Linked DNA regions of Arabidopsis thaliana. The protein of the gene in region 1 interacts with the protein of each later gene in a biochemical or structural test. Each region holds a gene or a part of one and is shown on either strand. Other genes may lie near its edges.

The links.
Region 2: the proteins of HSP90.1 (region 1) and TPR7 form a complex in vitro, tested with the Arabidopsis thaliana proteins (one study listed by BioGRID).
Region 3: the proteins of HSP90.1 (region 1) and PBS2 form a complex in vitro, tested with the Arabidopsis thaliana proteins (one study listed by BioGRID).

The regions. Positions count from the first base shown.
Region 1 is NC_003076.8:21,350,419-21,354,172, forward strand, and holds the start of HSP90.1 (heat shock-like protein), read left to right. Parts: upstream 1-2,138; coding exon 2,139-2,261; intron 2,262-2,576; coding exon 2,577-2,718; intron 2,719-2,803; coding exon 2,804-3,084; intron 3,085-3,172; coding exon 3,173-3,754. Other genes in the region: MEF1 (mitochondrial RNAediting factor 1), read left to right, coding at 1-1,723. UniProt on the Arabidopsis thaliana protein: Functions as a holding molecular chaperone (holdase) which stabilizes unfolding protein intermediates and rapidly releases them in an active form once stress has abated.
Region 2 is NC_003076.8:7,271,123-7,274,876, forward strand, and holds the start of TPR7 (Tetratricopeptide repeat (TPR)-like superfamily protein), read left to right. Parts: upstream 1-1,948; 5' UTR 1,949-2,272; coding exon 2,273-2,368; intron 2,369-2,480; coding exon 2,481-2,711; intron 2,712-2,847; coding exon 2,848-2,904; intron 2,905-3,018; coding exon 3,019-3,147; intron 3,148-3,333; coding exon 3,334-3,411; intron 3,412-3,532; coding exon 3,533-3,603; intron 3,604-3,725; coding exon 3,726-3,754. UniProt on the Arabidopsis thaliana protein: Plays a role in protein import into the endoplasmic reticulum (ER). May function as chaperone docking protein during post-translational protein translocation into the ER. Chaperone receptor mediating Hsp70-dependent protein targeting to chloroplasts.
Region 3 is NC_003076.8:21,001,205-21,004,958, reverse strand, and holds the start of PBS2 (cysteine and histidine-rich domain-containing protein RAR1), read left to right. Parts: upstream 1-1,672; 5' UTR 1,673-1,815; coding exon 1,816-1,923; exon of another isoform or gene 1,924-2,634; coding exon 2,635-2,637; intron 2,638-2,736; coding exon 2,737-2,819; intron 2,820-2,918; coding exon 2,919-3,073; intron 3,074-3,168; coding exon 3,169-3,398; intron 3,399-3,484; coding exon 3,485-3,586; 3' UTR 3,587-3,754. Other genes in the region: KEA5 (K+ efflux antiporter 5), read left to right, coding at 1-19, 121-216, 343-393.

The DNA.
Region 1 (3,754 bases):
CAATCAAATCTGTGATCTTCTTCTTTCTTCAGCTCGAACCAGATCAACTATTAAAGGACTTCAGCTTCATGGCTATGTCGTTAAATCAGGCCTTTCTCTTATCCCTCTCGTCGCTAACAACCTCATTAATTTCTACTCCAAATCACAGCTTCCGTTTGATTCTCGTCGAGCTTTTGAAGATAGCCCACAAAAAAGTTCGACGACTTGGAGTTCAATCATCTCTTGTTTTGCCCAGAACGAGCTTCCATGGATGTCACTCGAGTTTCTTAAAAAAATGATGGCGGGAAACCTTAGACCTGATGATCATGTTCTTCCATCAGCTACAAAGTCGTGTGCGATTTTGAGTCGTTGTGATATTGGTAGATCAGTTCATTGTCTATCGATGAAGACTGGGTATGATGCTGATGTGTTTGTGGGGAGTTCTTTGGTTGATATGTATGCGAAATGTGGAGAAATTGTTTATGCGAGGAAGATGTTCGACGAAATGCCTCAGAGAAATGTTGTTACTTGGAGTGGGATGATGTATGGGTATGCACAAATGGGTGAAAATGAGGAAGCTTTGTGGTTGTTTAAAGAAGCTTTGTTTGAGAATCTCGCTGTTAATGATTACTCGTTTTCGAGTGTTATTAGTGTTTGTGCAAATTCGACTCTACTTGAGTTAGGTAGACAGATTCATGGATTGAGTATTAAGTCTAGCTTTGATTCTTCTAGCTTTGTGGGAAGTTCTTTAGTCTCGTTGTATTCAAAGTGTGGTGTTCCTGAAGGAGCTTATCAAGTTTTTAACGAGGTGCCTGTGAAGAATCTCGGGATTTGGAACGCTATGCTCAAGGCGTATGCGCAACATTCACATACTCAAAAGGTTATTGAATTGTTCAAAAGGATGAAGCTTTCTGGAATGAAACCAAATTTCATAACTTTTTTGAATGTGCTCAATGCTTGTAGTCACGCGGGTCTAGTTGATGAAGGGAGATACTACTTTGATCAGATGAAAGAATCGAGGATTGAGCCGACGGATAAGCATTACGCTTCCTTGGTGGATATGTTAGGACGAGCTGGTAGATTACAAGAAGCACTTGAAGTTATCACTAATATGCCGATTGATCCCACGGAATCTGTATGGGGAGCTTTATTAACGAGTTGTACAGTCCACAAGAACACAGAGCTTGCAGCATTTGCAGCAGACAAGGTCTTCGAATTAGGACCAGTGAGTTCCGGTATGCACATTTCGTTATCCAATGCTTATGCAGCCGATGGTAGATTCGAAGACGCAGCTAAAGCTAGAAAATTGCTTCGAGACCGAGGGGAAAAGAAGGAAACAGGGCTAAGTTGGGTTGAAGAAAGGAACAAGGTTCATACATTTGCAGCTGGAGAAAGACGTCATGAGAAAAGCAAGGAGATATATGAGAAGCTGGCTGAGTTAGGGGAAGAGATGGAGAAAGCGGGTTACATTGCAGACACAAGCTATGTTCTGAGAGAAGTGGATGGTGACGAGAAGAATCAAACCATAAGGTATCATAGTGAGAGATTAGCTATTGCTTTTGGACTGATCACGTTTCCAGCTGATAGACCGATCCGAGTAATGAAGAATCTGCGTGTTTGCGGTGATTGCCATAACGCGATCAAGTTCATGTCCGTATGTACGAGACGAGTGATCATTGTGAGAGATAATAATCGGTTTCATCGGTTTGAAGATGGCAAGTGTTCTTGTAATGACTATTGGTGAAGAAGACAAATGAGAGTTGGTTTATATTTAACCATAATTTCATTCAGTTCACACTGAACCGGCGAAATTTCTTTGCCAGACCTATTCGGAATTGAAACAAGTGGAGTCTCGAAACGAAAAGAACTTTCTGGAATTCGTTTGCTCACAAAGCTAAAAACGGTTGATTTCATCGAAATACGGCGTCGTTTTCAAAGAACAATCCAGAAATCACTGGTTTTCCTTTATTTCAAAAGAAGAGACTAGAACTTTATTTCTCCTCTATAAAATCACTTTGTTTTTTCCTCTCTTCTTCATAAATCAACAAAACAATCACAAATCTCTCGAAACGCTCTCGAAGTTCCAAATTTTCTCTTAGCATTCTCTTTCGTTTCTCGTTTGCGTTGAATCAAAGTTCGTTGCGATGGCGGATGTTCAGATGGCTGATGCAGAGACTTTTGCTTTCCAAGCTGAGATTAACCAGCTTCTTAGCTTGATCATCAACACGTTCTACAGCAACAAAGAAATCTTCCTCCGTGAGCTCATCAGTAACTCTTCTGATGTAAGTTTCCCTTCAAATCTCTCTCTGCTCGGTGTGACTCGTCCGCTTCCTATTTTCTTGCATGTTGTTTGTTCTTTAATTCCTGGATTCGTTGATAGCGTTGGATTCGTAGGTTTAGCGTTGTGATTGCTTATTCAAATAAATCGTGATTTGGCTTGTGCATCACGTTAAGTTTAGAATTCTTAGCTTGTGCTCGATCTTCATGTGTTGTAGTTACATATATAGAACGGTTCTTGCTTCGATGTAGTCTTTGATTTACCCTAGAGGATTGAGGAAAGCTTCTGATTATCTTTGTTTATATGAATGGTTTTGTAGGCTCTTGACAAGATCCGATTTGAGAGCTTAACGGATAAGAGCAAGCTCGATGGACAGCCTGAACTCTTCATTAGATTGGTTCCTGACAAGTCTAATAAGACGCTCTCAATTATTGACAGTGGTATTGGCATGACCAAAGCAGGTAACGAATCAATGCCTAATAATCTCTCGTTGGTGAGATGTTTTAGTGTATGTGCTGTGGTTATGACTCTCTATTATTTTTTCAGATTTGGTGAACAACTTGGGAACCATTGCGAGGTCTGGAACAAAAGAGTTTATGGAGGCGCTTCAAGCTGGAGCTGATGTAAGCATGATAGGACAATTTGGTGTTGGTTTCTACTCTGCTTATCTTGTTGCAGAGAAGGTTGTTGTCACTACAAAGCACAATGATGATGAACAATACGTTTGGGAGTCTCAAGCTGGTGGTTCCTTCACTGTCACTAGGGATGTGGATGGGGAACCACTTGGTAGAGGAACTAAGATCACCCTCTTCCTTAAGGACGATCAGGTAAGGAATCGTAGCTTTGAGTGTTTTGGGGATTGTTTCTTTTCTTTTGGTGTTTTCTGTGTTCTTACAAGTGTGTTTATTCATGCAGCTTGAATACTTGGAGGAGAGGAGACTCAAAGACTTGGTGAAGAAGCACTCTGAGTTCATCAGTTACCCTATCTACCTTTGGACCGAGAAAACCACCGAGAAGGAGATCAGTGACGATGAGGATGAAGATGAACCAAAGAAAGAAAACGAAGGTGAGGTTGAAGAAGTTGATGAGGAGAAGGAGAAAGATGGTAAAAAGAAGAAGAAAATCAAGGAAGTCTCTCACGAGTGGGAACTCATCAACAAGCAGAAACCGATCTGGTTGAGGAAGCCAGAAGAGATCACTAAGGAAGAGTATGCTGCTTTCTACAAGAGCTTGACCAATGACTGGGAAGATCACTTAGCCGTGAAACACTTCTCAGTGGAGGGTCAGCTAGAATTCAAGGCCATTCTCTTTGTACCAAAGAGAGCTCCGTTTGATCTCTTTGACACGAGGAAGAAGTTGAACAACATCAAGCTTTATGTCAGGAGGGTGTTCATTATGGACAACTGTGAAGAGCTAATCCCAGAGTACCTCAGCTTTGTGAAAGGTGTTGTTGACTCTGATGACTTGCCACTCAACATCTCTCGTGAGACGCTTCAA
Region 2 (3,754 bases), about 14 Mb from region 1:
GAGTACAGTCTACAAGCGAAGAAAAAAAAAAAACTTCTTTGCACATTTGTAAACAAAAAGTTAGGCTAGTAAGCAACCATTCAAATGGTAAATGTTACCAAATTACCAATCAAGTCCACAGAACATACACACAAAAACGAAAGACCGGATTGATGGGTTAATGGAGGAAGGTGGGGGCTGACCGGCTGAGAAGTGATGTGACGGATCCTAATAAGAACAGCAATCGTACACAACTTGCTGCTGTGAAAGAGAGAAAGAGAAGTACCAGTGACAAGTGGCATGCCACGTGGGCCGGCGGTTTAGGACCCAATCAGAGTGAAACTGCCACGTGAGATCCTCTCCACGTCCCGACAACCATCAAAATTCAAAGCCTTCTTCTTTCTGTTTCCTCCATCATGCTCTTTAACTCATTTTTTCCCTAGCATATCAATTTTAAAAAAATAGTTTGCAATTTACGGCAATAAAATGTGGGCAACAAAAACAAAACTGAATATTTACATTCGTTTTCATTGTACAATAGAGGGTACATTCAAAAAATACAACTCACTCATTATCCTAGATTGCTTTGCCATATAATAGTAGAATACGTAAGAATGTGTCTACGATGTATTCTAAAGGATAACAAGGGCTATGTGAATTATAAAATCAAGGCTATATATGTGTATGCATATTTTGGTTCGTGTAAACATGTTAAAAAGTTGCTTTGTTGTAATCTATTTAGAAGCACATGCATGTTGTAATCTAGCTTCGAGAGATGTTGCACAACATGTATCAGAATGCTTTAGCAATATTGCTTTATTAATTATAAGTTGAAGATATTGTTTCCTTCTTGTTTGTTATATGATATAACTTTATTAATCCATTGGTTTCATTGTGACCAAGAAGAAGAGGTTTGCTAGAATTTCCTCGTTCTCGCTGCAATAGTACTTAGTGATTAGTTAATTGATAATCATAAATCATATCAACATTCACTTCTCTCAGACTGCTATCATTTAGTGAATCATAATCTCTGCTAATATTGAAAAATTGGGAGACGAGAGATAGATGAGAGTTGTAGCTAGCTTTAGTCAAAGTGGTCCTCTTCTAATGTGACTATACCACCGTTTCCATTCTTTCAAACATTGAAACATTTATGCTGCGGTGGAGAGAAATAAACATTTCAGAAAAATTAATTGATAGATGTACTCGTCGATGAAACTATATCGAAACAATATTGAAAAAAGTATTACCAAACACAACTTATATGTCACTAAAACTCGTCTTTTTTCTTTGTATGGTCAAAACACTAAAACTCGTTCAACAACTGAAAAGATTGTCGTATTGAAATAAAATTCTTTGCCCGAATAGTTGTACATATGTATTTTTTTGTTAAGATCATTTTGATATTTAAGATACTAAAAATTCTGCAGAAGACATGCATATTTTAAAGTTTAATAAATGGATTACTTTAGAGATTGAGTCTATGAAACTGAATACTAAACATTTTTGGATTCCAACAAATATATTATGGCTCTGAATGGTAATCAAAACCGCACTTAAAACCGCACCGCAACAGTACTGTAACAGTATTAAAATCTCTACATATTCATATGTATCTATATATTTTCGTTACTATTTGAACCGCACCGTACTTCTCCCGCACCGCAAAACGCAATCACCATTCGGAGCTTATATCATGGAGATGTAGCTGGGCAAACATATGATATCGATATCCAGACCCTAAAGAATTTTAAAATATCAAAAAATTATTTGTACCCTCAAACAAATTTAAATTGAATTTTATTGACACTTTAACACGTGTAACAGTTAAATTGGACGACTCTTTCTAAAACGAAATAAAAAAGAGTTTAACAAGAGATTCGTTTCAGTTTAAGAAGAAAAAAAACACGAGATTAGTCTTCCAACATGGACAAGGACATGACAATTTGCACGTAATCATATAGTTACGTTAATCAATACAATTACGTAAATTAATTTATTATGGCACGTCACAGCATCATCGTAGATCAAGGGTAAAACAGTCATTCTCCATCATCCAGGCATATTCCGGTCGGTGAATTGAGGAGGTTGAGCGATAAATTTTCCAATTCGATTCTATATTATTGGAAACTACTTTCGGGTCGGCAAAACAATTCTCCTTCGATTTTCCGATTCTCACAAACTCAATCTCGATCCAGATTCCGAGCTTATCCTTCTCTGGCGAATTTCGATTTTCTGTGTTTCCGATCTGATTACAGAGAACCACATCGAAGCTTCGAGAAAAAAAAACACGATGTTTAACGGGTTAATGGATCCTGAGATGATTCGGCTCGCTCAAGATCAGATGAGTCGTATGACTCCTGCTGATTTCGCTAGGATCCAACAACAGGTTTCGTTATTTTTCCTGATTCGAATTATTCGATCGATTCTGAGGAGAATTTGTTTGATTTGATTTGATTATGGCTTTGTATGATGAATTTATACCATTGTTTATTATACAGATGATGTCAAATCCAGATTTGATGAATATGGCAACAGAGAGTATGAAGAACATGAGGCCTGAAGATTTGAAACAAGCTGCGGAACAGCTTAAGCATACTCGGCCTGAAGATATGGCTGAGATTAGCGAGAAGATGGCTAAAGCTTCCCCTGAAGATATTGCAGCTATGCGTGCTCATGCTGATGCTCAATTTACTTATCAGATCAATGCAGCTCAGATGCTTAAAAAACAGGTAACAATTGACTTCCTGAGAGAAGTTTTCTATTGAATTTTGCTTTCCTGATTATAAAGTAAGGAACAAGAATGGCTTCAGCAAGTGGACCTTTGTGTAATTTGATGTTAATCTCATTTTCTACTACGTTTGGCAGGGAAACGAGCTTCATAGCCGAGGAAATTTCAGCGATGCCGCAGAGAAATACTTGCGTGTAAGTCTGCAGACGTATCTCATTTGTCATGCTACTTGACAAGAAGAGTTTTATTTGTAACCTGATATGCGATTCTTTTCTACTTGTTTACAATGCTCTTGGACCATATCTCAGGCGAAGAACAATCTGAAAGAGATTCCATCTTCTAAAGGTGGAGCAATTTTGTTGGCTTGTTCTCTCAATCTAATGTCGTGTTATTTGAAGACGAATCAGCATGAAGAGTGCATAAAGGAAGGTTCTGAGGTATATTCTTTATGCTCTTAATTTTCTGAAAACTCATAGATGAAAACATTTTTAGGAAAAAGAGAGATGGCAATCTTTTGGCTTCTTTTTTGTAGATGTAACACATGATGTCATACAGCGTTTTATGATCTATTCAAAACTGTTTCGACATTCTTCTGATAAATTTACATTCTTACATTATTTCAGGTTTTGGGATATGATGCAAGGAATGTCAAAGCCCTATACAGAAGGGGTCAAGCTTACAGAGATTTGGGCTTGTTTGAAGTGAGTTCTTCTGTTGCTTATGGAACTTTCTTGAGATTCCTTGTCGATATATATGTTTGTACTGTAGATATGTCCTGACTATATGTTTGCTCAATGCTCATTCACTCTCTTAAACTATAAGGATGCCGTCTCTGATCTAAGCAAGGCCCATGAAGTTTCCCCAGAAGATGAGACAATTGCCGATGTGTTAAGGTATGGATTTTTATATTCATTACTGGTAATGTCATACTTTTCAGTTCTGCTTATCTCAGAGGTTTTGATATTAACATTGAAAAAATAACTTTTGACTTGAAGTATTATCTTTTCTGATGCAGAGATGTTAAGGAAAGATTGGCTGTCGAGG
Region 3 (3,754 bases), 350 kb from region 1:
CACAACTGCTCTAAGTCTCGTAAGTTACCTAATATATGCAAACAAGCCTTTTCCATTCTAAGAGAACATACTTAAAATAATATTTAGTTCAAAACTGATTACCTGAAAATGCTGTTACAGGTAACGACTCCGTTGCTATTCAAGTTAATACCGAGTGCAATGAACCTCGGTGTCCTGCTTCGATGGTTCCCTTCTGAGAACAGTTCTCCGAACGAGGTCATTCTCTTTTCCAGATCTATTTATATTTAAGAACTGAGATAAGACATGACATAAAAATGAAAATAGATGTATTGATTATAGGAAACTGACTTGTGAGGTCGTGACTGAGAGTTTTGTTTGTAGAGTTTGCAGGAGAAAGCATCATTGATAGAAGTACATAACAGAACCAAGTGATCTCTCTTTTGTACATTGACTGAAGATTTAAGAAGAAAAAACAGATTTTGATCCGATATACTCAACTAGGAGGCAGAAAAAACATTTGAAACTGACCAAATCAGATCCAAGACTTGCTTTTTGTATTTTCTTAACTCTTTATTTTTTGTAATATCGTATATATTTAGTATTCACTACCTTCTTGTGTAGTTCAAGCGCTTATAGCTTGTTTTACTTGGTGTAAACGTTGTAACGATATTAGCCTTATATGCTGTTGTTTCTTTAATGTTCATCACAAATAAGAATCTCAATAGAAACCACAGAGTTCTATAATTGTGTGCTCAAACTCCACATATCTAAAGTGCGAGCAACAACTAGATGAATTTAGAGGTATAAATCCATTGCAATGCACAACAAAAATAACAAAAAAGAACCCTCCTTAGAAGAACAATGACATCAAAGTATAGAAAAGGATTGAGGTGGAATGAAGTAAGAGGCTGGTGAAATAGGAATTTAGTAGCACATATATGAGGACACGTGGAGCTTAGTGATTGGTTGAAATAAGAAAAGATACGTGGATTCGATTGGTATGAGCTGAAGTTGCTCAAGCTTAAGATCAAGTTGTTCATCGTCTTCTTCATTATGCAAAAATCTGAGAATTGTAAACTTTTCTTCTTCTTCCTTTCTTGTGTGTTTGGGGTTGTTACTCATTGTTAGTTTGAGATACTTCCTTCAATTCACTAATATTATTTATTTACGGGCAAATCTTAATGTGAGATTTTTGCATAGTGAGAAGTGAATCTGCGTTTTATGAACATCGTTTCAATCTATAGTTCGATTTCATTTGTGAGATTGTTGAGTTTCCTGTATCAGCTGGTTAAATAGCAAATCTACCATTCTTATCACCATTACGGAGATTGAATTTTCCGGAGTCATGGCTTTCCACGTAGTAGATGAAGTTTGGGGATAGGCCATACAAGCAAACTTGGAGACGGAAATATATACAAATAGAAAAACAAAATAATTAAGATTAGTTTTGCACAAACTTTGCAAAAACATCAAAATAGGTCCGACATTTAAATCACTTGCTTAGGTCTATAAAATAACACTCCCATCATTCAACATATTTTTCCTCTTGTGGGTTAGACCTACAAATCCGTGGATAAAACTCTTTAAAAACCTGTAATCTGTAACATATTGGCTTATTATCCATCACGCATGCTATTTTATGGACATGAAAATAATGTCCAAGCGGACCAAGCCCGCTCTGCATGGTATTATTTGGGCCGAGGCCCGTTTTACTCATCAGTTTTCATTACCGGTCAAAACTCAAAAGTCAAAATTTTCTAAAAGACGAAAAAGCCCTTTAATTTGATTTCCCAATACTTTTTACTCCTACCTTCTCAATTCGTCCGATTTCTTCACAAATTCACGAGAGAGATAATGGAAGTAGGATCTGCAACGAAGAAGCTTCAGTGCCAACGTATTGGCTGCAACGCCATGTTCACCGATGACGACAATCCTCAAGGTTCTTGTCAATTTCATGCTTCCGTACGTCTTCTTCTCTCCCCATCTTTAATCGATTCTTCTCTTTCTTTTCTAAGTCTTCGATAGTTTCTGATAAACCCATAGAGTAGCTTTTGAATTTGATTTTATGATGTGAGGTTACGAATTTCGATTTTTGATCATGAGAAGATGATTACGCAAGTGTTTAATTAGGTTTTGGATTAGCTGATTGATTACATGTAGATTTCATTTAGTTGTAAGTAAGTAAGCTTTGAACACAGCTTTGATTGTCTAATTGTCAAATTTTAACTAAGTTGTTTGCTTGCAACCTATGAATTCTGTGAGACTGTGAGCTTATTAGAACACTTGATGGAAGAAAGCAAAAGTATATTGCGTAAAATTGAATAATCCAAGTATTAGATCTTTTGCCACCGTTTATGGCTATGTGAGGGAGAGTGTACGTACATGCAGCGACTTTTGAATTGTTTGCTTCCAACTTTTGCCACCGGTTATGGCTATGTGAGGGAGAGAGCTCGTTAAGACTGTCCCTGGAAGTGTAATTAGAACAATTGTGTATAGAAAGAAGGCTTTATCTCAATATTCATCTTAACATTTGGCCTTGTATACTAGTGTTTCTTTCATATTCATCTATTGCTTTGAGCTTTTTATTGTAATTCATCTTCTTTTATTATCTTTTCTTTTTCCGGTGTGGCTGGGGCTGGTCTTTGCACTGACTACTGGTTTTTGTTCAAGCAGGGAGTAAGTCAAATTTACTCTTCAAATACTGTTTTATGTTTTTTTTTTTGTTTCACACTCGCTTGCTCAGAGAATTAAAGCTACCAAAGTTCAAACTTGCAGCCATTTTTTCACGACGGAATGAAAGAGTGGAGCTGCTGCAAGCAAAGAAGTCATGATTTCAGTTTGTTCTTGGAAATTCCAGGGTAACTAATATCCTTGTACCCCCTCATAATAATTCCTCTGTCTTTCATGGTACATATTGTAGTTGATTGCAAACACTGAAGATGTTTCTTGCAATGAAGATGTAAAACAGGTAAACACACAACTGAGAAACCAGTTCTGGCCAAATCGGTTCCAAAACATCCTGTTGCGGCTCCTACTTCATCTCCAGATGCCAATGCAGCAACAAAAGACTCTTGCTCCAGATGCCGGCAAGGCTTCTTCTGCTCAGACCATGGTTTGTATCTTTATTCTCTCGTCTTTAAATTCTCGTTGCACATTGGTTACATGCATGACCTTCTATCTAATTTTGTGTCCTTCTTTACCACACAGGATCCCAACCCAAAGAACAGATCAAGCAGACCCTGAACACACCGGGACAAGCAGAAGAAGAAAAAATTGAACCCTTAGCGCCTCCAGTACAAAAGGCTGTGATAGACATTAATCAACCGCAAGTCTGCAAAAACAAAGGATGTGGCCAAACATTCAAAGAGAGAGACAATCATGAGACTGCATGTAGCCATCATCCAGGTCCTGCGGTCTTCCACGACAGACTGAGAGGGGTAACACGTTCTTTGTTCAATCATTTTGTGACCCTTTTCTTTCACTGTTTGAATTTCTATTGAATATCACTGTTTTCTTTGTGTAGTGGAAATGTTGCGATGTTCACGTGAAGGAGTTCGACGAGTTCATGGAAATACCTCCTTGCACTAAAGGATGGCATAGCAGCAGCCCTGATCCGGCGGTCTGATATATTTTTTTTCCTGAGATTTTCGATTCAAAGATTAATCATCTTTTCTAATTGTGTTTTCATGTTCTTCTTATCATATGGAATTCTATTTTAGATTTGTTATAGAACCTTTCAGTTGACAGATATATGTAATGGTTAAATGCTCATCTTCTGTGTTTTGGATCATGA